Struthio camelus: one gene and its partners. The protein of the gene in region 2 purifies or fractionates together with the protein of the main gene of each other region. This does not show direct contact. Links are inferred from orthologs where the notes say so. Each region holds a gene or a part of one and is shown on either strand. Other genes may lie near its edges. The genes, in order: SETDB1, SUV39H1 and EHMT1.

Evidence for each region.
Region 1: the proteins of SUV39H1 (region 2) and SETDB1 purify together in Homo sapiens (affinity purification with mass spectrometry; 3 studies listed by BioGRID and IntAct, counting the BioPlex papers as one, with this or other methods). This does not show direct contact. The link is inferred for Struthio camelus from reciprocal best matches to the Homo sapiens genes SUV39H1 and SETDB1.
Region 3: the proteins of SUV39H1 (region 2) and EHMT1 purify together in Homo sapiens (co-immunoprecipitation; 3 studies listed by BioGRID and IntAct, with this or other methods). This does not show direct contact. The link is inferred for Struthio camelus from reciprocal best matches to the Homo sapiens genes SUV39H1 and EHMT1.

The regions. Positions count from the first base shown.
Region 1 is NC_090971.1:2,523,207-2,530,494, forward strand, and holds the start of SETDB1 (histone-lysine N-methyltransferase SETDB1), read right to left. Parts: upstream 3,057-7,288; 5' UTR 2,927-3,056; intron 1,144-2,926; exon of another isoform or gene 1,068-1,143; 5' UTR 1,057-1,067; coding exon 845-1,056; intron 493-844; coding exon 320-492; intron 1-319. Other genes in the region: ARNT (aryl hydrocarbon receptor nuclear translocator), read left to right, coding at 6,758-6,851. UniProt on the Homo sapiens protein: Histone methyltransferase that specifically trimethylates 'Lys-9' of histone H3. H3 'Lys-9' trimethylation represents a specific tag for epigenetic transcriptional repression by recruiting HP1 (CBX1, CBX3 and/or CBX5) proteins to methylated histones.
Region 2 is NC_090979.1:349,854-357,278, reverse strand, and holds SUV39H1 (histone-lysine N-methyltransferase SUV39H1), read right to left. Parts: upstream 3,067-7,425; 5' UTR 2,983-3,066; coding exon 2,964-2,982; intron 2,460-2,963; coding exon 2,314-2,459; intron 2,024-2,313; coding exon 1,367-2,023; intron 1,003-1,366; coding exon 856-1,002; intron 673-855; coding exon 543-672; intron 321-542; coding exon 184-320; 3' UTR 107-183; downstream 1-106. Other genes in the region: WDR13 (WD repeat-containing protein 13), read left to right, coding at 1-72; actin nucleation-promoting factor WAS, read right to left, coding at 3,786-3,835, 3,949-4,054, 4,604-4,766, 4,917-4,962, 5,641-5,794, 6,580-6,622, 6,798-6,978, 7,316-7,366. UniProt on the Homo sapiens protein: Histone methyltransferase that specifically trimethylates 'Lys-9' of histone H3 using monomethylated H3 'Lys-9' as substrate. Also weakly methylates histone H1 (in vitro).
Region 3 is NC_090961.1:11,457,373-11,464,935, forward strand, and holds the start of EHMT1 (histone-lysine N-methyltransferase EHMT1), read right to left. Parts: upstream 3,029-7,563; 5' UTR 2,870-3,028; coding exon 2,807-2,869; intron 1-2,806. UniProt on the Homo sapiens protein: Histone methyltransferase that specifically mono- and dimethylates 'Lys-9' of histone H3 (H3K9me1 and H3K9me2, respectively) in euchromatin.

The DNA of each region.
Region 1 (7,288 bases), on a different chromosome or scaffold from region 2:
CAGAGCAAAAGCAGCATTTGACGGGACAACGATCAGGCAGACAGAAAAAGGGAAAGGTCCCAGCTCGGCACCTGAACAAACCTTAACTCAAGAGCCATGGAATAGTTACAGGCCCAGACAGACCACGCAAGAGGTGATGTTCCTCGCACAAGCCAAGGGCATTTCCTCTCTGATCCTCTTGTGCTTAAGGACCAACAGTGCTTATGGGCTACTTTACAACATCTTCACCCTGATCCCTACTCATTCCCTTCCTCCTCCAGGACACGCTCGTATGTCCATCCCTCCCCTCAGCACCACGCAGCATAACGGGATACTGAACTGTGCTTCCAGCCCGAGTCAATGCTCATGACATCATCATCGTCCTCATCTGGGATCTCGATCACTTCTGTGGCCTTAGCAGCCAAGTCCTCGTCCTCAGAACTGCTCTCACGATACTGGAGGCCCAGCTTGGAGTACAGATCTTTTACTAATATCTCACATTTATCAATGGCTCTGGGGAAAAAAAAAAAAAGAGGAGCAGAGACAGGAAAAGACAAGGTGAACCCAGCTGTACATCCCACAATAACACAGAAACAAACAGGTGCTGCTGGAGACCTGCTAATTAAATATAACCATTGGTAGGTGAGGAAAGAGTATTTGTGCGAAGAATTCGAAGCCACAGGATGAGGAATAATTTTAACTGTTCCTCAAGAACCTCATACAAGTGAGCTGACGAAGAACTGCAGCATCAGTGCACACGGACGGGAAACAGGCAGTGCTCAAAACACTGGACCCTGCCATCTGATCTCCTCTGCTCCTTCAAGGCCTGACTTGGACACACAGCCACAATTCCAAGTGCGCCCACCTTGAAGCATCATCAAAGAGCCGGTCGACGTGAGCCACCTCCTCTTCCTTCTGCTTCACGCACTTCTCCAGCTCCTCCAGCTGCTGCTTCCTCTGCTTCACACACTCAAACTTCTCCAGCTCTTCGTCAATGATGTCCTGGAGCTCCTCCATGGAGATACCTAGCTCCTCCATAACTTCTTGTTGTAGCTCTTTGATCTCCTGGGAATCCATTTCTGCTGCACCTGAAGCCACAAGGAGCTGAGAAAAGCCCAGCAAGATTCTATGGCTCTATCACAGCCTCCACTTTTAAGAGCTGATCTGGAAGATTATGTTATATATTCTGTTAAGACAGCATTACAGAGAGCCAAAAATAACCAAAGTGCAAATGACCCACGGAGCTGAAGGCTCCTAGGACAAGCAGAAAGTATTTTCTCTGATCCCTGCATGGATCCTGCTGAATACCAGACCCTTACGCTAACCCTCTTCTCCACAACACCTGCGAAGCGTTCCCAACTCTCGGACACCTCTGCCTGGCCTGGAAAAACCAAGCAGACACCTCTCCCAGTCTGTGCTACAGCTTCGCCTTCAAGCAGCAGCCCAGAACAGCTCCATCCCTCTCCTTCCTAGGGTATGTAAAGAGCATTATAACATCCATCCCCAGCCCCAGGGAGGGCCCCAGCGGCTTCCCCTCTCCAGGTGTGCAGCCTGTGGCCCCCTTCGCTCTGTGCCTGGCGATAAAGCGAGCAGTCTCCTCTATATTCAAGTCCGCTCTCCTGCCAGCAGCCCCTCTCTCATCTCTCCCTGCACTCTCCCTGTCTGCATCCAAGCAAATACTTATCTCCAGCCTCCCTCACTCTCCTGCTCCCCCATGCCACCTCCCATCCCAGGCCTCCCCCCTCTCTCCCATTGCCCTGCTCCAGCCCCATCCAGATTTCTCTCCCCCACAGCATTTCTCTCCCAGCTGCTCCCAGGCCATCCCCAGATGCAAGCCCCATATACCTCTCCCCCACCCCCCACACCTCCCAGCTCCACTCCCACCACCCCAAAAACCTCCAATTTCCCCACAGCCCCCCATTTCCCCAACCCCCCTCACTGGCCCCATCTTCACCCCAGTGCCCTCCTCATAGCTAGCTCCCTGCCCAACAGCCCCCAGCTGCACCCCATCCCAATACCCTGCTCCTCCTCCCCACAGCCCCCCATCCCAATACCTCCACAGCCCTCCTCCGCCCCAAGCCTCCATCAGTCCCTCAGCTGCCAACACATCCTGCCTCACAGCCCTCACCCTAACACTCTCTCACCCCACAGCTCCCCTATGCCCACAACCACCTATCAACTCCCAGCCGTTGATACCCCCTACCCCACAGACCCCCTACGCCCCCACCCAGTACTCTCCATCTCTTGTTCCACTGCCTCTCAAACCCTCTCCTCACTCCAAACATCTTCTCAGTCCCACGCCACCTCTCACACCAATATCCTCCTGTCCCACAGCCCTTTCCTTACCACTCAATATCCCCCCCAGTCCCATAATACCCTCACTCCAATACCCCCTGCCCTACAGCCATCTCCTCGACCCCAACATCCCTCCACAGCCTCAGCACCTCTCAGTCAGATTTCCCCTGCCCCACAGCCCCCATTACCCTCTGTATCCCCTCACAACCTCCCAACATCCCCTATGCCAATAACCCCTGCCCCACAGCCCCCTCCTTGCCTCCAAAAGCACCAGCACCACCAGTAACCTTTATCCCAACAGCCCAAGTCCTACAGCCTCCTTACCCCCAATATCCCTCCCACATCAATACCCTCTGCCCCACAGCTCCCGCCTTGCCCCCAATAACCCCATCACCACCCCTAGGACCCCCCACCCAGATTCCCCCTGCCCCATAGCGCCCCTTTACTCCCAATATCGCCTCACAAACCCCACTCCAGCACTACCTGCCCCACAGCCCCTTCCTTGCCCCCAACAGCCCCACAACAGACCTCATCCTGATGCCCCCCGCCCCACAGCCCCCTCCTCACCCCTAGACCCCCTCTCCCCGATGCCCCCCGCCTCACAGCCCCTCCTCGCTCCCAGGCCCACCCCCCCCGGGCCAGCCACACTCACCTCACCCCTAAGGCCCGGGGCCGGCCGCGACCCCGATTACTAGAGAGCAGGCGGTGGGGGGGGGAGCCGGAAGTCACTGGCGTCACTTCCGGTAACGGCAGCCCAAGGAGCCCAATTCTCCCCCTCTGGCCGGCACGGCGCAGAGACACGATAGTGCGCATGCGCATGAGGCGGACCGCCGCTCGCCAGCCCGGGACTTGCGGGCAGGCCAGAGCGCATGCGCAAAGAAGCAGGGCGCTTTTAAAGGGGTAGCGCCCCCCTGCTGGAGCCCGAGCCCTGGGGTGCTGGAGAGATGGAGGGTCCTGGGGCAATAGGGGATCCCGGGGGTAATGGGGGGGCCCTGGGGAGATGGAGGGTGCTGGGGGCAGTAAGGGGTCCTGGGTATAAGGAGGGGGCCCTGGGGTGATGGGGAGTGCTGGGGGGTCCTGTGGGTAACGGGTGGCCCTGGGGTGACTGGGGAGTGCTGGGGGGGCCGTGAAGCGATGGAGGTGTTGGGGTTGCCTCAGGTGCTGGAGGGTCCTGGGGTGCCAGGAGCCCCGGGGTGACTGGGGAGTGCTGGGGGGGCCGTGAAGCGATGGAGGTGTTGGGGTTGCCTCAGGTGCTGGAGGGTCCTGGGGTGCCAGGAGCCCTGGGGTGACTGGGGAGTGCTGGGGGGCCGTGAAGCGATGGAGGTGTTGGGGTTGCCTCAGGTGCTGGAGGGTCCTGGGGTGCCAGGAGCCCCGGGGTGACTGGGGAGTGCTGGGGGGGCCGTGAAGCGATGGAGGTGTTGGGGTTGCCTCAGGTGCTGGAGGGTCCTGGGGTGCCAGGAGCCCTGGGGTGACTGGGGAGTGCTGGGGGGCCGTGAAGCGATGGAGGTGTTGGGGTTGCCTCAGGTGCTGGAGGGTCCTGGGGTGCCAGGAGCCCTGGGGTGACTGGGGAGTGCTGGGGGGCCGTGAAGCGATGGAGGTGTTGGGGTTGCCTCAGGTGCTGGAGGGTCCTGGGGTGCCAGGAGCCCTGGGGTGACTGGGGAGTGCTGGGGGGCCGTGAAGCGATGGAGGTGTTGGGGTTGCCTCAGGTGCTGGAGGGTTCTGGGGTGCCAGGAGCCCTGGGGAGCCCTGAGGGTGCCAGCGGGCCCCGTGGGGCTCAGTTGACCTGTTCCTCCTCCCAGGTGGCGGTGGGGATGGCGCTGTAGGGGTCCACCACGAGCCGGGCGCACCGCACTGCCATGGCCAGCAGGAAGAGGCACATGAGCACCACGAAGGCCACGGTGATGCCCTTGTCCACGTCGAGGGCTGGAGGGCTGGTGGCTGGGCCAGGCTCCATGCAGGCAGCCCTCAGGTGCGTAGTCCCTGGCCCTGGGCTGTCGGCCCCAGCATCACCCGGCTCGGTTTGGCCCAGCTTTAAAACATCCCCGCTATTGGTTTTTTTTTTTTTTTTTTCCACAGCCACTTTGCCCCAGAGCAGCAGGACCCCCGGAAGCATTAGGTGCACTGAGCATGCCAGGGCTCAGTTGAACCTTCGCAAAGTGATGGCTCAGATTGGAAACGCGACAGGTGCCCGTGGAGGCTGGGAAAAGCCAAAAGTGGCGACAGTGGAGGGTCTCCAGGTTGCTTAAGAGAGATGCTGGCGGACAGACAGATTTGCACGAGGTAGGGGCAGAGGTAGAGGCTTGGCAAGGCCGTCAGGCACAGCCCTGCGGCCTGAGCTGCATGTACATCTATGCCGATATATATATGTATATGCCTATATATACGTATTAAAGTGCCATATGCACCAGGATCAAATGAGCTCAGCCCCAATGACGGCACATGCTGAAATAGGACCCGCAAAGTCCCGTAGCACCCATCGATCCCGTCCCTAGCAGCCCCAGACATGCCATCTGGGGCTGTTCCTTACCTCCTGGCAGGCGGGCGGACAGACGGACTGGCCACTCTGCCCTGCTCGGTGCCGCTTTGGGGCCATGGCACCATCCCCGGGGGTTCATGAATACTGCAGGAACACGGCGGCGTCGCCTTTCAGGCACTCGCAGTAACCAGGAGAAACGATCTCGCAGATTAAATTATCGCCCGCTCAGGCTGAAAGTTTTTCCAGCGGCTCCTTTGCGCTGTGGGTGAGAGCTCATGGGCGGCAGGTGTCCCGGCTGGGTGCTGAGCACCCTCAGCACCCACCAATGGAGCCAAGGGTGACCCTTTCAGGGCCTGTGGCCCCCCAAGGGCTCTGCAGGGTCAGGCCAGGCGATGGCCCCCCCCCTTGCATAATTTGTCAGGTTTCTGCCAGCGGGACGAAGGGCAGCGCACGAGGAGGGCGCCGCGCCGGGAAGCGAACCGAATGAGCCCGTTTACAGCCAGGAACCCCCTCCCATGCTGGGGAGAGGCGGGGGGACCCCAGCTGGCCCCTGCCACCATCCGGCCCCACTCACGGGGGCTTCTGGAGGGCCAGGCCCAGCGTGTGCTATGAAAATTGGCTATAATTAACCACTTTACCACTTTCCTGCCACAGCCCGACCCCAATCCCAGTCCCAGTCCGCCAATCCCAAATTCAAACCCCATCCCTAAACTCAATCCCATCCCCAGCCCGAGTCCAAACCCAATGCTAGTCAAAATCCTAATTCCATGTCCATTTTCAGTCCCAGTCCCAATCCCCATAGGGTTCCTGTCCTCCGACAAAAAAAAAAAAAAAAAAAAAGCAACATAGAACGTCACCGAAACCGCCCTTTAAGTCTCCCACTGGCCCCCCCCACTCCACACACCCCCGCTTTGGCCACGCCCCCGCCCCGCGAAGGGGGCGGGACATGCCTGGGGTCACCCTACCCTGCTGGCAGAGGCTGTGCTGCCTGCCTCTTTGCTCCCACCCCTCAGCCCTGTCTAGGCCAATGGGGATGCTCCGCCTCGTCTCCGCCCCGCCCCTCTGGACGGGCAGGCTAGGCTGCGCCGCAGCGCCCCGGGTTTTCCTGCGCCGCCATCTTGGCAGTGGCGGCGGTGAGGAGGGAGGAGGGGAGGGGGGGGGGGAGTCTGCCCGCCCGCCCGCCCGCCCCGGTTATGGCAGCCACCGCCGCCAACCCGGGTGAGCTGGAGCTGCTGCGCTAGATGGCTTGCGGGGGGCGCGGAAGCAAGCTGCGGGGGCGACAGGGCTCAGGAGCTCTGAGGGGGGCGTGGGGGGCTGGGGGACCGGGCCGTAGAAGGGCAGGGCCAGGCCAGGCCGAAGGGGGTCGCGCAGGGCGCTGCTGAGGGGTGCGGGGCCGAAAGAGCCACTGAGAGGGGCTGGGTGGGCCCGAGGGCTTTGGCAGGGGCTGGACTAATGGGGCTGTTAAGAGGGGCTGGGCCAGGCCAGAGGGGTCGTTGCGAGGGGACTAGGGTGGACCAGGTCCCGGCGGGTGGTTAGGGGGGCCCAAGGGTGTCGCCTGGGTGAGGAGGGTTGGGGGAGCAGGGCTGAGGGGACGGGAGCCTTGGTCAGGGGCCTTTGGGAGGAGGAAGGGGTGTTCTCTGGGGGCTGGGAGGTTTAGGGGCCTGGGCTGAGCTAAGGGGCTTGGGTGTTGGGTGAGGGGAGCCTTTAGGGGGGTGAAGGGGGGTTATCTCTAGGGACTGGAAATTATAGAGGTCTAGGCTGAGCTGCAGGGCCTGAGTGCTGGGTTGGGGGGCCATTTGGGTGTGCTGGGCTGGGATAAGGGGTGTCATTTGGGGTACAGTGTCAGGAGGTGTGGGGGAGGGATGTCAGGAGGACTTGATGGGGTGGCCCTGGGAGAGCAGATGAGGGAGTTGGGGTGGGGAAAGGATGCTGAGGGACCCAGCTCAGGGGGAGGCTTGGGGTGCTCGGGAAGGGCTTGGAGAAGTGGGGTGGTGGAGGGATTGTTGAATGGGGGAAACTTGGAAAGGGGGCACTATGCTGAACGGCAGGTTGTTTTGGAAGAGGAAAGTGAGCTGGAGGTGCTGGGGGAGAGAAGAAGATGGTGTGTGAGCTAGCGTGTTGGAGAGAAAGATGTTTGTGCCTGTTGTTGCTCCCTTAGCTTGAACGGCTGGCGTGGGCCATGCGCATGCCTCATCCGCGTACATGGTGCTGGGGTCTGGTTTCTCTCATAGCTCCTCTGGCAGGGAGGGAGGCCTGGTGGGACTCACTTGCATTTGTTATCCCTAATGGCTTATGTTGTTTTTTCGGTCTTTTTTGCTATATGTTTCCTTGAGGTTTATTTGAATTGGCTTGGTGTTTTGAAAGGGACTTTTACAAATCTTACCTCCACCTGTTTTTAAACTGCTGAGCAGAATAGCTGGTGCGTGCCTGTCAGAAGAAAGCAGAATATCCTTTCAACTCTTGCTCTCTCAAGTCAGTAACAAAGGGGTGATCCTCTGCCTGGAGGAAGCTGGAAATCTATGATGTCTGATGCTTGCT
Region 2 (7,425 bases):
TGCGACGAGAGCCTGCTGGCCTCCAGCGACGCCACCGGCACCGTCATCGTATGGCGCCGCCAGCACGCCTAGTGCCCCCTGCCCCTGCACGGCACGGAGCCCCCCAGCTTGGCAAACAGAGCGTGTTTTGCACCCATGTGCGCGTGTCGGCTGCCTGCGTGCGTGCCGGGGGGGGGGGGGGGGCTAGAAGAGGTACTTGCGGCAGGTGGCGGCCCCACACTTGCACTCGATGCGGCCCCGGGCCCGGGGGGAACCGCCCAGGCCCCCAGCCAGCCCGAAGTTGGAGTCCATCCGCGTGCTCTCGGCATCCACTGGGTCCACTGCCGGGGGGGATGGGGCACAAGGGGTGTGTCAGCGGATGGGAAGTGCTGTGGTACAATCCAACACCCCCCTGTCTCTATGGCCGTGGTATGGCCCACCTACCCCCAATCTCTATGGCTGTGGTACGGCCCAGCTGCCCTCCCCCCCCATCTCTTTGGCAGTGGTACACCCAGCTGCCCCCCCCCCCCCCGCCCAGGGGCTGGCCCGGGGGCGGGGCTCACCGTGCATGTTGTAGTCGAAGGTGAGCTCCTCGCCGGCACGGATGGGCCGGGTGGCGAAGAGGGCAATGCGTGGCAGCCGCTCGTCCAGGTTGTCGATGAAGACATTGTACACCTGCAGGTTGGGGTCACACTGCAGGGGCAGGAGGAAGGTGTTAGGCCACACCCCCAGCACAGGCTCCTCCTCCTCAGCACTGCCTGGCTCCACCCACAAGCACCGACCCCCCCCCCCAAGCTGCAGCAACACCCCCAGGGCACCTGGCAGGCCTGGCACACCGGGCCCCACCCCTGAGCGTTTAGCCCCGCCCCCACTCACACTGTGGTTGACAAAGTGGGAGATGTTGCCATAGCGGGCAGCGTCCACAGTGTAGACGTCCTCCACGTAGTCCAGGTCGAAGAGGTAGGTGGCTCCCTGGCGGTCATAGACCTGCCCCCGCCGCTCCGCCTCCTCCGACGTGATGATCTGGGGGCCGGGGGGGCGCACGGGGGTGAGCTCATGCCAGGGTGATACAGGGACACAGCAATGACCTCACGTGTCCCCATGACCCCTCCCATGTCCCCACGGCTCACGCCAGGGTGATACAGGGACACAGCAATGACCTCCTGTGTCCCCACATCCCCTTCTGTGTCCCCATGGCTCACGCCAGGGTGATACAGGGACACAGCAATGACCTCCTGTGTCTCCACATCCCCTCCCATGTCCCCAGGGCTCACACCATGGCAATATAGGCGCACAGCAGTGCCCTCCTGCGTCTGCACAGTGACACAGGGCAGCTGCAGCAATGCCACCCCATGTGTCCCCGCCCCCGCGGTGGCACAGCGCTCACCTCACCCACGTACTCCATGACAAAGCTGTTCTTGCGGATGCGCTCGAGGGTGCGGACGCCCCAGCCCCGGCCATTGCCAGTGCGGAAGATGCAGAGGTCGTAGCGAATGCCCTTCTGCACCACGCGGTTGGGGCACTCGGCCCCGCAGCGGCACCGCGAGTTGCACTCGTAGATGGGCAGCCCAGCCCGGATGCGCACTTGCCCGGCCTCGTTGTAGGCGAATTTGTTGCGCGAGGCGCCGGGGCAGCAACCGCCAGCCGCCTCGGCCAGGCAGTCACGGCACTCGCAGCCCACGGCCACGGGGCTGAGGGTGATGCCGGCCCCCACCTTGTACTCATTGATGTAGATGAAGTCCCGGGGCGGGCCGTGCAGGTCCACCTCGTTCTCCACAGCGATACGGCCCCGGTGGCGGCGCTTGGTGTTGAGGTGGCGCTCCCAGCGGCGCAGGGCCCGCCGCTGCTCTGCTTTCTGCACCAGGTAGGAGGAGGCGCGGGCAGGCAGGCCCCGTGGGCCAGGCCGGGCCGGCCCTCCCGGGGCACGCGCCAGGTCCTGGTGCAGCTGCTTGAGCAGCCCCCGGCAGCGCAGGTTCTTGCGGGGCTCCCAGGTGTTGGCTGCCTCGGGGTAGCCCCGCCACTTCACCAGGTAGAACTCCTCGGCCTGTGTGGCAGGGAGACCATGTCACTGCAGGCCCGGACACCTGGGGCCATGCTGAGCCTCAGGATCCCAGAGGACCCAGGTGCCCGGGACCTTCCCAGCTCTCCTGAGAGTCATTGGGGACCGAGGTATCCAGGGCCTTCCCGGCCCCTCCTGGACCCACGAGGGACCCAGTCCAGGGCCTTCCTGGAGGCACGGGTCACCCAGGCGTCCAAGGGCCCAATGCTCTGGGGACCCAGGCGTCCGTGCTCCCCACCTCTGCGAGGGACCCAGGTGTCCAGGCGTGCACTCACCCCCACTCTCTTGTAGTCGCACAGGTACTCCACCTCGAAGTGGGCCAGGTTGCGGCGGGTGACGCCTAGCGCCCGGCACCGCAGCCGCTCCAGGCGGCACAGGTCCTGCAGCTGCGCCCAGGACGACTTGCAGCACACGGAGCAGCCTGCGGGGCACCGGGGGGCGGGGGCACCTTCACCAACGCGCGTGGGCCCCACCCACCGCTGCCTGGACGCCCCACGGGACCTACCTGCCACACGCGTCTGAGGTCGAGGGTGGCGCGGCGCCCACGCGCGTGGAAGCCCCCCGGTTCCGTGCCAGCCCCACAGGCGTGGGGATAGCCTCCCCACCCCCCCGAAGCACCGGGCGCCCCCGCACCCCCCGCCGGCGGAGGAGCCGCCTCAGCGCGCCCCGCGCCCCCTCACGCACTGCCCCTCCCCCGCCCCCCGCGCCCCCTTTTATACCCGCCGCGCGCGCGCTGCCCCCCTCAGAAAAGGCGGGAAAAGGCGCCTCCCCCCTCACAGCGCGCGGCTGTTCAACGGTCGCGCAGCGCGCCAGGTGTGGGGGGGCGGGGGGGCGTTCGAACGCGGCCCGCGCGCGCGCCCCGCGACCGTTAAACCGCCGCGCGCGGCCGTTAAACGACCGCCGCCCTCCCGCGCCCCGCGCTCACCTTTTAAATTTTCCGCCATCTTTTTTTTTCCTCCCCCCTCCCCCCCCGACAGGCACCGCGCGGCCGCCGCACCGCGCGGCCCCGCCCCCTCCCTCCGATTGGCAGCGCCCGCCCGCCTTATTTGCATATACCCAGCAGCCCCCGCGCTCCTTCCCGGTGTCACCGCCCACGCCAGGGCCGCTTTTTTTTTTTTTTTTAACCAATTTCCGCTTCTTTTCCCCCGCCCTGGGCACACCCAGGGCTCGTGCCCTGCCTCCGCCTTCTCGCCTCGGGGCGGAAAGCGGGATATTCCCCCCCACCCCCGCCCCACAAAGCCTCAGAGTGATGGAACGTAGCAATCACACGTAGCCGTTAATTAATTAATCTCATTCATTAATCTTTGTAACACGTTGTTTGTGAAGCATGGCCGTGCTTGCTGGTGGCTGGGGCCACGTGGTGTGGGGGGGTGCCGCCAAGCGGCCCCGCTCACCTCGAGGCAACGGCTTCGTTCGTTAGCAGCTCGAGCAAACGAGGTGGTGCGGTGCTGGTTTATTCCTTAGCAGCTTGCACAAATGAAGCCCCCCCCCCCAAAAAAAAAAGTGCGGGGGAAGGAGACGTTATCCACAGTCCCCCAGGTCTCGTTCACGCCAACACGGCGCTCGGCCTCCGCCATGGGGTGGCCCGCATAAACCCCATGTGTGGGGCGCTATGGGGCAGGTGGGGGGGGTAAGCGAGGTCGTACCGGACCAGGCCCGCAAAGCAAAGCACTGTGGGAAAGAGGGGGTGCTACAGGGCGGGGGGGACACACAAACACGGGGGCTCCATGGGCCAGCGCCACGGGGCTCAGTCATCCCACTCGTCGTCCTCGTCCTCCTCGGCGTCCTCGGCCTCGTCTGGGGGGGAGGAAGCAGGGGGTGAGCAGGGTTTGGAGGGGGGAACAGCGCAGGGGGTGCCCTTCACATGTGGGGTGGCCCCCTGCGTGTGGGGCGGCAGCCCCCCAGCTCACCGGATGAGTGGATGGCCTTGCTGCGCTTCTGCATGACCTGCATGAGGGCCCCCACCAGCCCCTCGGGAGGCTGCCCCACGGCACCCGCCTCAGGGGCCTCAGGGGTCTGCAGGTAGGGAAAGGGAACAGAGTCAGGGCTACCCCACAGAACGCTGCTCCACACTGTTACCTGTCCCACGCAACCTACCCCACAGTGTCCCCTGCCCAAAACCTCTCCCCCCACCCCACAGTAACCTGCCCCACGCTGTCCTCCACCCCATGGCAACCTGCCCCACAGTAACCTGCCCCACGCTGTCCTCTGCCCCATGGCAACCTGCTCCACACCTCCCCCTGCCCCACGACAACCTGCCCCACACCGTCCCCTGCCCCATGACACCCTACTCCACACCATCCCCTGCCCCATGGCAACCTGCTCCACACCTCCCCCCGCCCCACGGCAACCCACCCCACACCGTCCCCTGCCCCATGACACCCTACTCCACACCATCCCCTGCCCCATGGCAACCTGCTCCACACCTCCCCCCGCCCCACGGCAACCCACCCCACACCGTCCCCTGCCCCACACCGTCCCCTGCCCCATGACACCCTACTCCACACTGTCCCCCGCCCCATGGCGACCTGCTCCACATCGTCCCCCAGCCCCGTGCCCCCCGACCTTGTTGAGCTGCACGCCCTGCCGGATCTGGTCCAGGAGGGCCCCGCGGCCCTGGGGGGGCCCCGCGGCGGGGGCACCGGCGGTGGCGCCAGCAGCCGGCGGCGGCGGCGGCGGCGGCGGCGGGGGGGGTGGGGGGGCTCCGCCGCGCGCCGGGGGGGCGGGGCTCCCGCGCGCAGGGGGCGGGCCGGCGGCAGGGGGCGGGGCAGGGGGCGGGGCCCCGCGCGGCGGCGGCGGGGCCGGCGGCGGCGCCCCGGGCGGCGGCGGCGGCAGCGGCCCCTGGCGGCCGCGGGGGGCGGGGCCGGCCGCGGGGGGCGGTGGCGGCGGCGCGGCGGCGGCGCGGCCCGGGGGGGGCGGCGGCCCTGGGGGAGGGGAGAGAGGCGTCAGCGCCCGGCGGGAGCCCCGCCCCCGGGGCCACGCCCCTAGGGCTGGGGGGGCACGTGGCACCTAGGGGGGTATGGGGCCTATAATGGTGGGGCATGGGGCCTGTAACAGGGCATAGGGAGCCTATAATGGGGGGGGGTGGGGCCTATAACGGGGCATAGGGAGCCTATAACGGAGGAGGTATGGAGCCTATAACGGGGGGGTGGGGCCTATAATGGGGCATAGGGAGCCTATAACGGAGGAGGCATGGAGCCTATAACGGGGGGGTGGGGCCTATAACGGGGCATAGGGAGCCTATAACGGAGGAGGTATGGAGCCTATAATGGAGGGGGTGGGGCCTATAACGGGGCATAGGGAGCCTATAACGGAGGAGGTATGGACCCTATAACGGAGGCCCATGGACCCTATAATGGGGCATAAGGGCCCTATAACAGGAAGGGGTATGGACCCTATAATGGGGAGGGTATGGATGCTTTAACGGGGGGGCATGGGGCCTATCTGGGGGACTACGGACCCTACGGCGAGGGTCGTACGGGTCTTACAGCGGGGCCTGAGGGGCCTACCCCGGAGGAGACAGGTGGCTGCCGTCATCGGGGCGGCGGAGCCCCTCGGGCCCGGGGGCGCAGGGAGCGCTGCGCGGCCGCTGGGGGGCTCACCGTGGCGGCGCATCTCCTCCTTGACGGCCTGCAGGCCGCCCTGGCCCTCGATGAAGTCGTAGATGAGGCGCGAGGTCTCGGCGTCGGCCAGCTGCGCCTCGCTGATGCCGGCCCGGGCGAACAGCGCCCGCAAGTCTGGGTCCAGCTCCTGCACCTGCGGCCCGGCACCTACGGCCTCCGTAGGGCTGCTGGCACCACCCGCCGCCCTCCCCGCGGGTATGGGGCCGTGCTGCCCGCCCCGCCCTGGGGGCGTGGGGTGTATAGCACCCACCCTGGGGGGGTGGGACCCCACAGGACCTCCCCAGGGGGCTATGGGACCTATAGCACCCACCACAGGGGATATGGGACCTATAGCACCTGCCCCAGGGGATAGGACCCCTATAGGACCTCCCCAGAGGGTATGGGACCTATAGCACCCACCCTGGGGGGGGACCCCACAGGATCTTCCCAGGGGATATGGGACCTATAGTGCCTGCCCCAGGGGATAGGACCCCTATAGGACCTCCCCAGGGGATATGGGACCTATAGCACCCACCCCAGGGGATATGGAACCTATAAACCCCACCCCAGGGGGTATGACCTCTATAGAGCCTGGCTCAGGGGGTATGACCTCTATAATGCCAGCCCCGGGGGGGGGGTACGGGCCCTATAGCACTTGCCCTGGGGGGTTATGACCCCTATAGCACCCACCTAAGGGGGTACAGGCCCTATAGCACCCACCCCGGGGCAGTGTGGGGCACATAGCTGCCACCTAGAGGGGTGTGGGGCCTATAGCCTCTGCAGGGGAGCTCTAGTGCCCATGGGAGGGAGGTGTTTCTCCTATACAGCCCAGGGGGTCTCTCCCCTATAGAGCTTGGGGGGGTCCATCCCCCCTATGGGGCCCACAGGGTTCTTCCACCCATAAGGCCTGAGGGTCACAGCCCCTATGGGGTGACGTACGTTGAAGCCGCTGTTGGGGTCCCATCCGATGTGACCCACGTGCCTGGTGGGGGGTGGTGATATGAGGGGTTGCCCCATAGCAGGAGGGCTGGACCCATGGCCGAGCCCTGCCCCATATGTACCCTGCCCCTCACGTCCCCCCCAGCCCCACACGTCCCCCTGCCCCACACATCTCCCCACCCCACACATCCCCCCAGCCCCACACATCCCAGACCTACTTGAAGCCGGAGGGTGCCCCGATGTCAGCCTTGGAGATCTTCTTGCGACCCCGCTTGCGGTCAGTGGCTGTGGGGCCTGCTGTGGGGCCCGCTGTGGGGCCAGCCGTGGGGCTGGGCAGCCCCCGGTAGCGGCTCGCCGTGATGTCGGGGTTGGCAATGGGCACAGCCGGCACTGGGGGGGCTGCGGGGGCATGTGTGTGGGGCGGGGGCCGCTATGGGGCTTGGCGGCCACTATGGGGCAGGGGGACTCCCTTTGGGGCAGTAGAGACTGGCTATGGTGCAGGGGAACCCACTATGGGGCAGAGGGGACCCTGCTAGGGGGCTAGAACACTGCTATGAGGCAGGGACTGTGCTATGGGGCAGGCAAACCCACTATAGGGTAGGAGAGACCCCACTATGGGGCAGGAACCACTTGCTATGGGGCATCAAGGATCCCCTTATAGGGCAGGGACATTCCATTATGGGGCAGGGACCCCGCTGTGGGGCAGCGGAGCCCCTGCTATGGGGCAGTCACTCACCACAGCCATCCCCGGCAGATGCAGGGGGCCGGGGCAGACTCCCGCGGCGCTCTGTGATGGGGGGCAGAGGAGGTCAGCGCCCCACGGCTGCCCCACAACATCCCCCCCAT
Region 3 (7,563 bases), on a different chromosome or scaffold from region 2:
CCAGAGCCCCAAGTCTTTAGCCTGAATCGAAAGGCAAGATAATTCCCTCAGTCCAGGTGGTCAGAAGTCTCTGCAGTGATTCCTTGACCTCTCTAAGATCCAGGAACAGGAAAAGGAGAAAGAATATTTTAAGGAAGGGGGAAAAAAAAAAAAAGAGAGAGAGACGAGCAACAACAACAAAAAAAGCACCAGGAATCAAATCATCCCTCCCCCAAACATCCACACCAGCTGGCCATGATAGCGAAGCTCCTTAAATGTCCTTGTTTACCTGAATGAAATAGTTCCCTGCCATTGTACAAAAAAAAAAGCACATGATCCTTTTTCACTAGGAGATGGCACCACACGGGAGAGGTCACACTGGCATTGGCACTCCTGCGGCATACCAGCGTAACGAGATACACTTTCAAACGCCGGGAGAAGGAGGAAAAGTACTAACACTGCAAGGCAGCCACGGCCCCAGCGCTGCCGCTCGGCCGGACACCCGGATGCAAAACGGGATCTCGCGCGGCGGGCCCGATCCGGCGCCGTGACAGCCCAGCCTCCTCGTTACTAGGCCGGGGAGCCAGCAGACGGCTTGTTTTTATAAGCTGGGGGCCTCATTAGCAGCAATAACCACCGCTCACATGCCTAGCTGCAAGCCAGCATGAGCTGCAATGGCCAGCGCTTCTGTTAACAGGGGGCCCGGGCGATTTTTAAAGCCCGTGAGGGGTCCTAAAACATGTCCCACACACCAGCAACCTCCCTCTGTCATGAACAAGACACAACAGCGAGGTACACGGCTCTGAGGGGCCGTTCGCTAGCCCATCGTTTGCTTGGGAAGAGGAAGAATAGCTTTTGAAGGGAAGTACAACAGCATTGCTTTTTTTCACACGCGACTGCCAAGGACAGGCGACGAAAGCGTCTGCCTGGGCTAGTAAATACTCACAATTATTTTCACTGGCTGGCTGAAGCTGTTTAGCACTGGAGTTAAAGTAACATAAAAGTCAGTTTAGTACGCGAAGGAAAAAAAATAAGACCCAAAAGCCCACATTTAGGACTATTAACCCCTGCTGAAAAGCAACATGGAATTTCAAACCTTACGCTTGCCTCTTCCCTCCAAAAAGTAGGTCAGGCGTTTCAGCATCATTTTGCCAACGCTCTCGGAAGGAATTTCAGGCAGCAATAAGTGACTATGTAGTGTTTTAGGCAGGCTATCACACAAGCCTCATCATGGTCACCATATTACGTACATGCACTTGTTAGCACCCCTAAGTGTTGCCTCAGCATTTTAGGGGGTTGCTTGTTTGCTTAGCCTTCAGCAAACCCCACACACATTTTTTCCTGGATAGGAGCTCATCCAGTAATATTTCAAGGCCTCTGCTCTTCACTTTTAAAAAATAAACTACTTCATCTCCTTATGACTTCTTTTGATGTTATTTGCCTTTAATATGCATTTACTAGATGACAAATAATTAGCGTATCTATAGTCTCCTGCAGACATGACAGATATTTAGATTAGATATCACAGACCGTCCTGTAAGCTCTCTAGCCCTTTAAAGGCTATCTTCACATTTCACTGGTCATTTAAAAATTTAATACGTAGGTACATATGGAAGTTTTAAGGGCCTTCCTCAAACCCAGCAAGCGACAGGGTTTGGGGCCAGTGTTTTGCAGGCTGGCAGAGGGTGCCAGGATCACCCCCAGCTCTGGGAACCTGCAATCCTTAAGAGACAACAGCGGAGGTCAAGAACAGGGTGTATGCTCCAAGTCAGACCGGTCGCTGTAGCAGGCAACACAGCTGTGTGTGCATATAACACAAACAACTTAAAAAACAAAACAAAAAACAAAACAAAAAACACATGGCAGGGCCAGGGGTATGAATTTTAGGCAACCTTTTAAACAAACTGCTGACATGGGCCTTCTGCCATGAAATCAACCACGGACGTTTCATTTTAATCAGCTGCTCTCTTGGATTGCAGGCTACTTAGAAAATAAATAAATAAAGCCCCCATCAAACAAACAAACAAACGGCCAAAAAATCAAAACCACCACCCCCCCCAAAAAGATCCTTTCTTCCTGATGAAATCATGCTCGCTCTTCCTTCCACCCTAAAAACTAAACTGTAGGCTTGCTTGACATAACCGAAGGCTGTCAAAATTGTTTCTAGCAAGCAAGTGAAATGTGTCCACAGGCCCTCTCCTTCCCTTTGAAAGTTCAAGTCTTCAAACAGTTTAAAGACCCCAGGGTTTTCTCTTCTTGCTTATAAGAAACGGAAGCAGGGAGGGCTCCTGGTAGACCCAAATATTCAAAAGACTTCATGCTTTAAAAAAAAAAAAAAAAGGTAAAAAAATAAAAAATCCAGACAAACCTCCACACCCTCCCCAACACAGAAGACAAATAAAAGACTGACTTAATGCGTGGAAATAAGCCTAAACTTCCCCAGAGACAGGTAATTTCAGATTCAGAACTATATACAAGTCCATTGAGCAAAACAAAGTAACACTAATAGCAACACAAAAGATCAGAAGTCAAAGTCTGAAAAGCAACTGCGCCTGTCCAGGTTATTCTGTAAATCGCTTCTTCAAAAGACGCCCCAGCACACTACCCTGCATGCTGCATCAATATGCAATACCCACATTTCTGCTGTGCTGTTCTCTCTTGCATAGGGCAAAAAATAAATAAAAAAATCCAGCCATGATTATCTGAACTGTCTTCCTCCTCTCAGAGGTTTCTCCTTTCCTACCTGACAACAGTCTGTCTGCGGCCACAACCTGAGGGAATCTGCTATTTATGACATATGGAACATGGACACTACAAGTTACTGTACCTGCAGACATCTGTGGTCTTCTTTTGATGAAGACTCAAAGAGTTGCATATTCCAGATCCTCATGAACAGTGATTCAGTTTCTGCTCATGTGATAAAAGCTCCCTCTACAGAGTGAGCATGCCCAGTGGAGACCATTTCACTGTTCACTCCAAGCTGCAGCCATTTCACAGAGAACCTGCAGGCTTAAGGGCTTCCATTGGAGCAACTATTATCTAAGGCATCGCAGGGATACTCGGTCCTCCTGGTGCAACGCACAGTTAATAAAGATAATCTGTCAACGGTCTGACCTAGTGCCAGGCCTAAAACTGATCAGTAGCCTGCAAAAGCCTTTTAAAACCATGTAATAATGTGTTCTGTTTCAGTGGCCTCCAAGAGTAGCCCTTGCCTACAAAAAAAAAGAAAAGGGGAAAGAAAAAGAGAGAGATGCTGCACAATAGCATCGAAGTTTGAGGACACCCCTGCACTAATTATATTTTGCTTAATAAAGCGCCCGACCTTTGAATAGTGGGATAAAAGCATACGGGTTAAACTGGTTAAGTGTACAGTGTCCAACTGAAAGTGAATTTGAGATCCGATATGCTGAGCTGAAGGGGTGCTATTTTTCACTTCAGGGACTTAAAGTATAACATGACCTGGTATAACCAACCTTAAAAGCATATCACAAATACAATTATTAAAAAGAAAAAAAAAAAGAACTGATAGTACACTACTAGGTGCAGTAGCTCTCAGCTCAGCCTATGTCAAACCATATGATACAGCTGGCCCAGCCAGCAAGAGCAAAGAAGAAATTTTAGCTTCAAAATAAAAGTAGTTTGTCTCTGTTCAATTTGACAATTAAGCACAAACTCTTGGCAACCTTCATATCTGCTAAAGCTCCCAGTAAAACTGCCTGAGCAACTTGCAGGAACATCTGTAAGCAGAGATCAGCTGGAACGGATTCAAATGCACAAATGACATTTATCACAATGCAAAAGTCCGAGGGTTTCTCCGTGTTTAATATTTCTCTGGAGAACCTCCCCCAGGAGAAGGGGGAGGGGAGCAGAGAACAGAGGAGAAGAGAAGAGGGAAGAAGGAAGAGGAAATCTGAAATGGGCTGTAGTCCCACCCGCCTGTTCTTGACCAAAGCAAAAAACAATTTTCCATAAAATAGGAGTGGGGAAGACAATTCTCCTGAAGCTGAAACGTTAAAACGAACACTGGCTCCGTGTGTTGCCTCACAATGGACCGAGAGGAGAAGGAGGAGGGGGAGGGAAAAGGAACAGCCTGCGCCGTTGGGGGGGGGGGAACCCAGAAAAATCCATAGTGAGGTTTTGAGGAGCCCAATGATTTTATTTGCCTTACACGTTGCACGAAAGCAGGCACTCAAAATTCAAGGCTTCAGCACAAGTATGAAGCCTTCTCTCTACCCATCCCCTCCTCTCCTTTACTAAAGCACCGCAAGAGCGTGCCACGCTGTCACATTATCACACACCAGAAACGCCAACAAGCCACGTTTCCTACAGACCAAGTATTTATTTCACCACCACGTCGATGCACGTTTGCAAAGTGGCAATAGTTAAAAGAGCAAAAGAACCGTCCATGGGGCTGCCTCCGCTAAAACGACATTGTTTGCCTCTAAACGCTTTGGAGGAGTTTCACTATTAAACAGTTAAAACACACAAGGCTGAATTGACATGACTAAAATTCATAAAGGATGAATATCCAAGGTGACAGAATAAAGCCAGGATCTCTCTGCCACCCACTGGTTTTTTTGCTTGATGTCAATCTAAGTAATAATATAGATAACGAGATTTTTTTTGGCCTTTGCATCAATCACCAAAAGTTGTAGAGGTAACTCATTTAAGACAAAGCCAAAAAGCCCAAAATGAAAACAACAAAACCTGACTACATTGGCAGAAGTTGTATCATCCACTGTATCACTGTGGCTCAAACCAAAGAGGGCTTTAAACCAGCTGAAGTGTTACCCGCCTTGGGCAGCATGAAGTTACTAAACTTTCACTAAAAGTACAGAAACAAAGATACTAACAAACGCTGAGTCACTGAACTCATGTGGTCCACGCCCATTTTCAGACCGAGATATAATGATGATCCAAACCCACGCCACGGGGTTCACTCATAAATGCAGCATGTCAACCCTGGAAAAATGCTTTTACTGGTGAGGGTGAAAATACACTGCGAGCAGAAGCTGCTAGAGACGTTTTTCATCTTGGAAAGCACTAAACACTGGTTAAAAAGAAAAAAAAAAAAGGCAGGATATCGTGGATGCCTCCACAATCAACTCGAGCAAAGCGATTGATCAGCGCCCTACAGGAGCTCCGCACAGCGACGCTCTGGAGGAGCGGAGGCTGCTTGTGTGCTATTACTGAGGAAAAACAGCCGAGCTCTTAAATTTATGGCATCCAAAAAGAAACAGAAGCTTCCAGACAGCCTCTGCAGCATTACACATGCTGCCCACGGCATCGCGCCGCCACTCAGCGGCCGTGTCCTGAAGCGGCCCCACCACGTGCCTGGGGTGGCCAAGGCCCCCCCCCACCACCACCACCCCGCGCCCGAGGCCGGCCTCACCAGCTCCCACCTCCCCACTGGGCCTCCTCCAGGCCCAGCACGGGGCAGCCCGCACTGCTGGGCTCCCTCTGCCACCCAGGGCCCAGGGAGGCTGTGCCAGGGCCGCCATTTCCTCGCCGCCCTGCAGCCATTTTGTGGAGGCCGGGCACTGCGGGGGCAGGGGCGCAGGACGCGAGAAGGAGCCCTCCCTCTTCTGCCCCTGCCTCCCGCACGTGCACCGGCAGCGCGAAGCCGCAAGCGGAGGGATTAGGAGGGTTGAACGATCTAACTGCTCTGGGACTTCACCTACACAGCACCAAGCTGAACTGATTCCCCGCTCCGGGAAAGTGAAATCCTTCTCCAAAATGGCTGAGGTGGATTTTCTTTCCTTCGCAGTTGAGTAAAATTACAACGGGCCTCTACCTCATGAAGGTTTTATTTAACTCTCTAGCAATCTCACCATCGAATCGTCTCTGCTGCGGACTGTCTGGCAGTCGCCTTTTTTTTTTTTTTTTAAAAAAAAAAAAGTGTTCTACCGGGGCCCATAAAACTACAGGATAATTTTAAGCTCTGGGCTCTCTGGCCTCAGTTCCATGATTCGAGGCTTGAACAGCCTTTTAAAAATCTCACTTTTTATTTAAAGAGGAAGACAGCAGAACAACAACCTTCCTTCACAAAGGACACGGGGCTCCTAAGGGCTTTTGCTTAATTACACCATTACACATGTCATTTTCACAGCTCCCTCCTCACAGAGAGGCAAAGTGGGAGGGAAGGGGAGATCTGTCTTCTATAGGAAGAACAGTATTTAGCTCTCCAAAATACAGGACTTTTCTCTGATTTCCGTCAAGCTCTCGCTTCAGCCCGTACAGTCGCGCCAAGCCGAGGCTCCCTGTCAAGGCTCCTCTGAAGCGCTCACAACAGCACGACAGGCCAGGCCGGGCCGTCGCAGGTAAAGCGGCTTCCAGCACAAACACGAGCGCTTCTGCCGGAAAGCCGGTTCGCTTTGCCATCGCTAAGAGCTACTCCTCAGCTCGGCTGCAGGCTCTCAGAACGCCTCCTTCCCTTCTCAAAGATGACTCTGAACGCATCCTAAGCCGAACACCCAGTCCTGGGATACTCTGAGCGTCCTCCGCCTCCTCCTCCGAGAGAGGGCGAGCCGAAACGTCCGCTTCGCCCCTCACAGGCTCAGGTAACAGTTCTGAAGGAGCGGTCAGTCATGGACGCGCGCTTCTGGAATTACAGCTTTCTTCACCTTTTGAAACCTCCTTTTTTCTCTCCAAAGTTTTCAAGCCACTTCCCTCCCTCCCCCCGTTTCCTCAGCAAAGCTTAAAACTGCTTTTAGTGAATAGGAAACATAAAATGTTCCCGGGGACACTGTGTTGAGTACATCACAAATACACACATACACACATACACACACACACACACACACACACACAAACCCCAAAACCAAAAAAACTGATGCTGTTGTGACAGATGTTGAGATGTAAGCTCTCTGGAAGATGTTGCCATGTTTTGATAAGAATGCATGTTGAGTATTTCATTTACAGGGCAATCCTAGAACTTTATTTAGAGTCATATTGGACAGACAGCTGTAATTCAGAGCATACTGTATTCCTAACAGTTCCCAATTATAAACTCCTTCAGCTTTAACTTAGAGTAACCACGGCTCTTTCTATTTTGGAAAGCTAAAAACGCCATTTCTCCCCTTCATTCAGCTACCATATATTAAGAGCTTCTACCATACACTTACAGCCTGACTTGAGAAGGGCACTAAACACATCACGTGCATACCCCATCTTCGAAAACAGGGATGAAGCTTATTGCTTTAACCACACTAGCAATTTGCTCCACACACAAATGTTTTATTGCTTTATTCTGGAATGGTCGATGGGGTGGGAATCGGCAGCATTTCAGCGCGTCACGCAAAGCCTTTAGACTGCTTTTTAGTAGTCTTCTGCCAGGAAAGCAGGCAGTAAAAATGGCTGCTTACATGCTGTCTCACTTCTGCTGCAACACTTCACCGAAACACTGGAGACCATTTCAGCTTCTGCCTACGAATCTCACGTGTTCCAACGTTTCCCTGTTCTTTGACCTCACACCTAAATTTTTCTTTTAACCATTACAAACATTCCTCCTGTAAACAAGTTCTTCATTTGAAGAGAATCAAAATTTCATGATGCTTTTATACTTCTCCCAAAATCATGAACTCG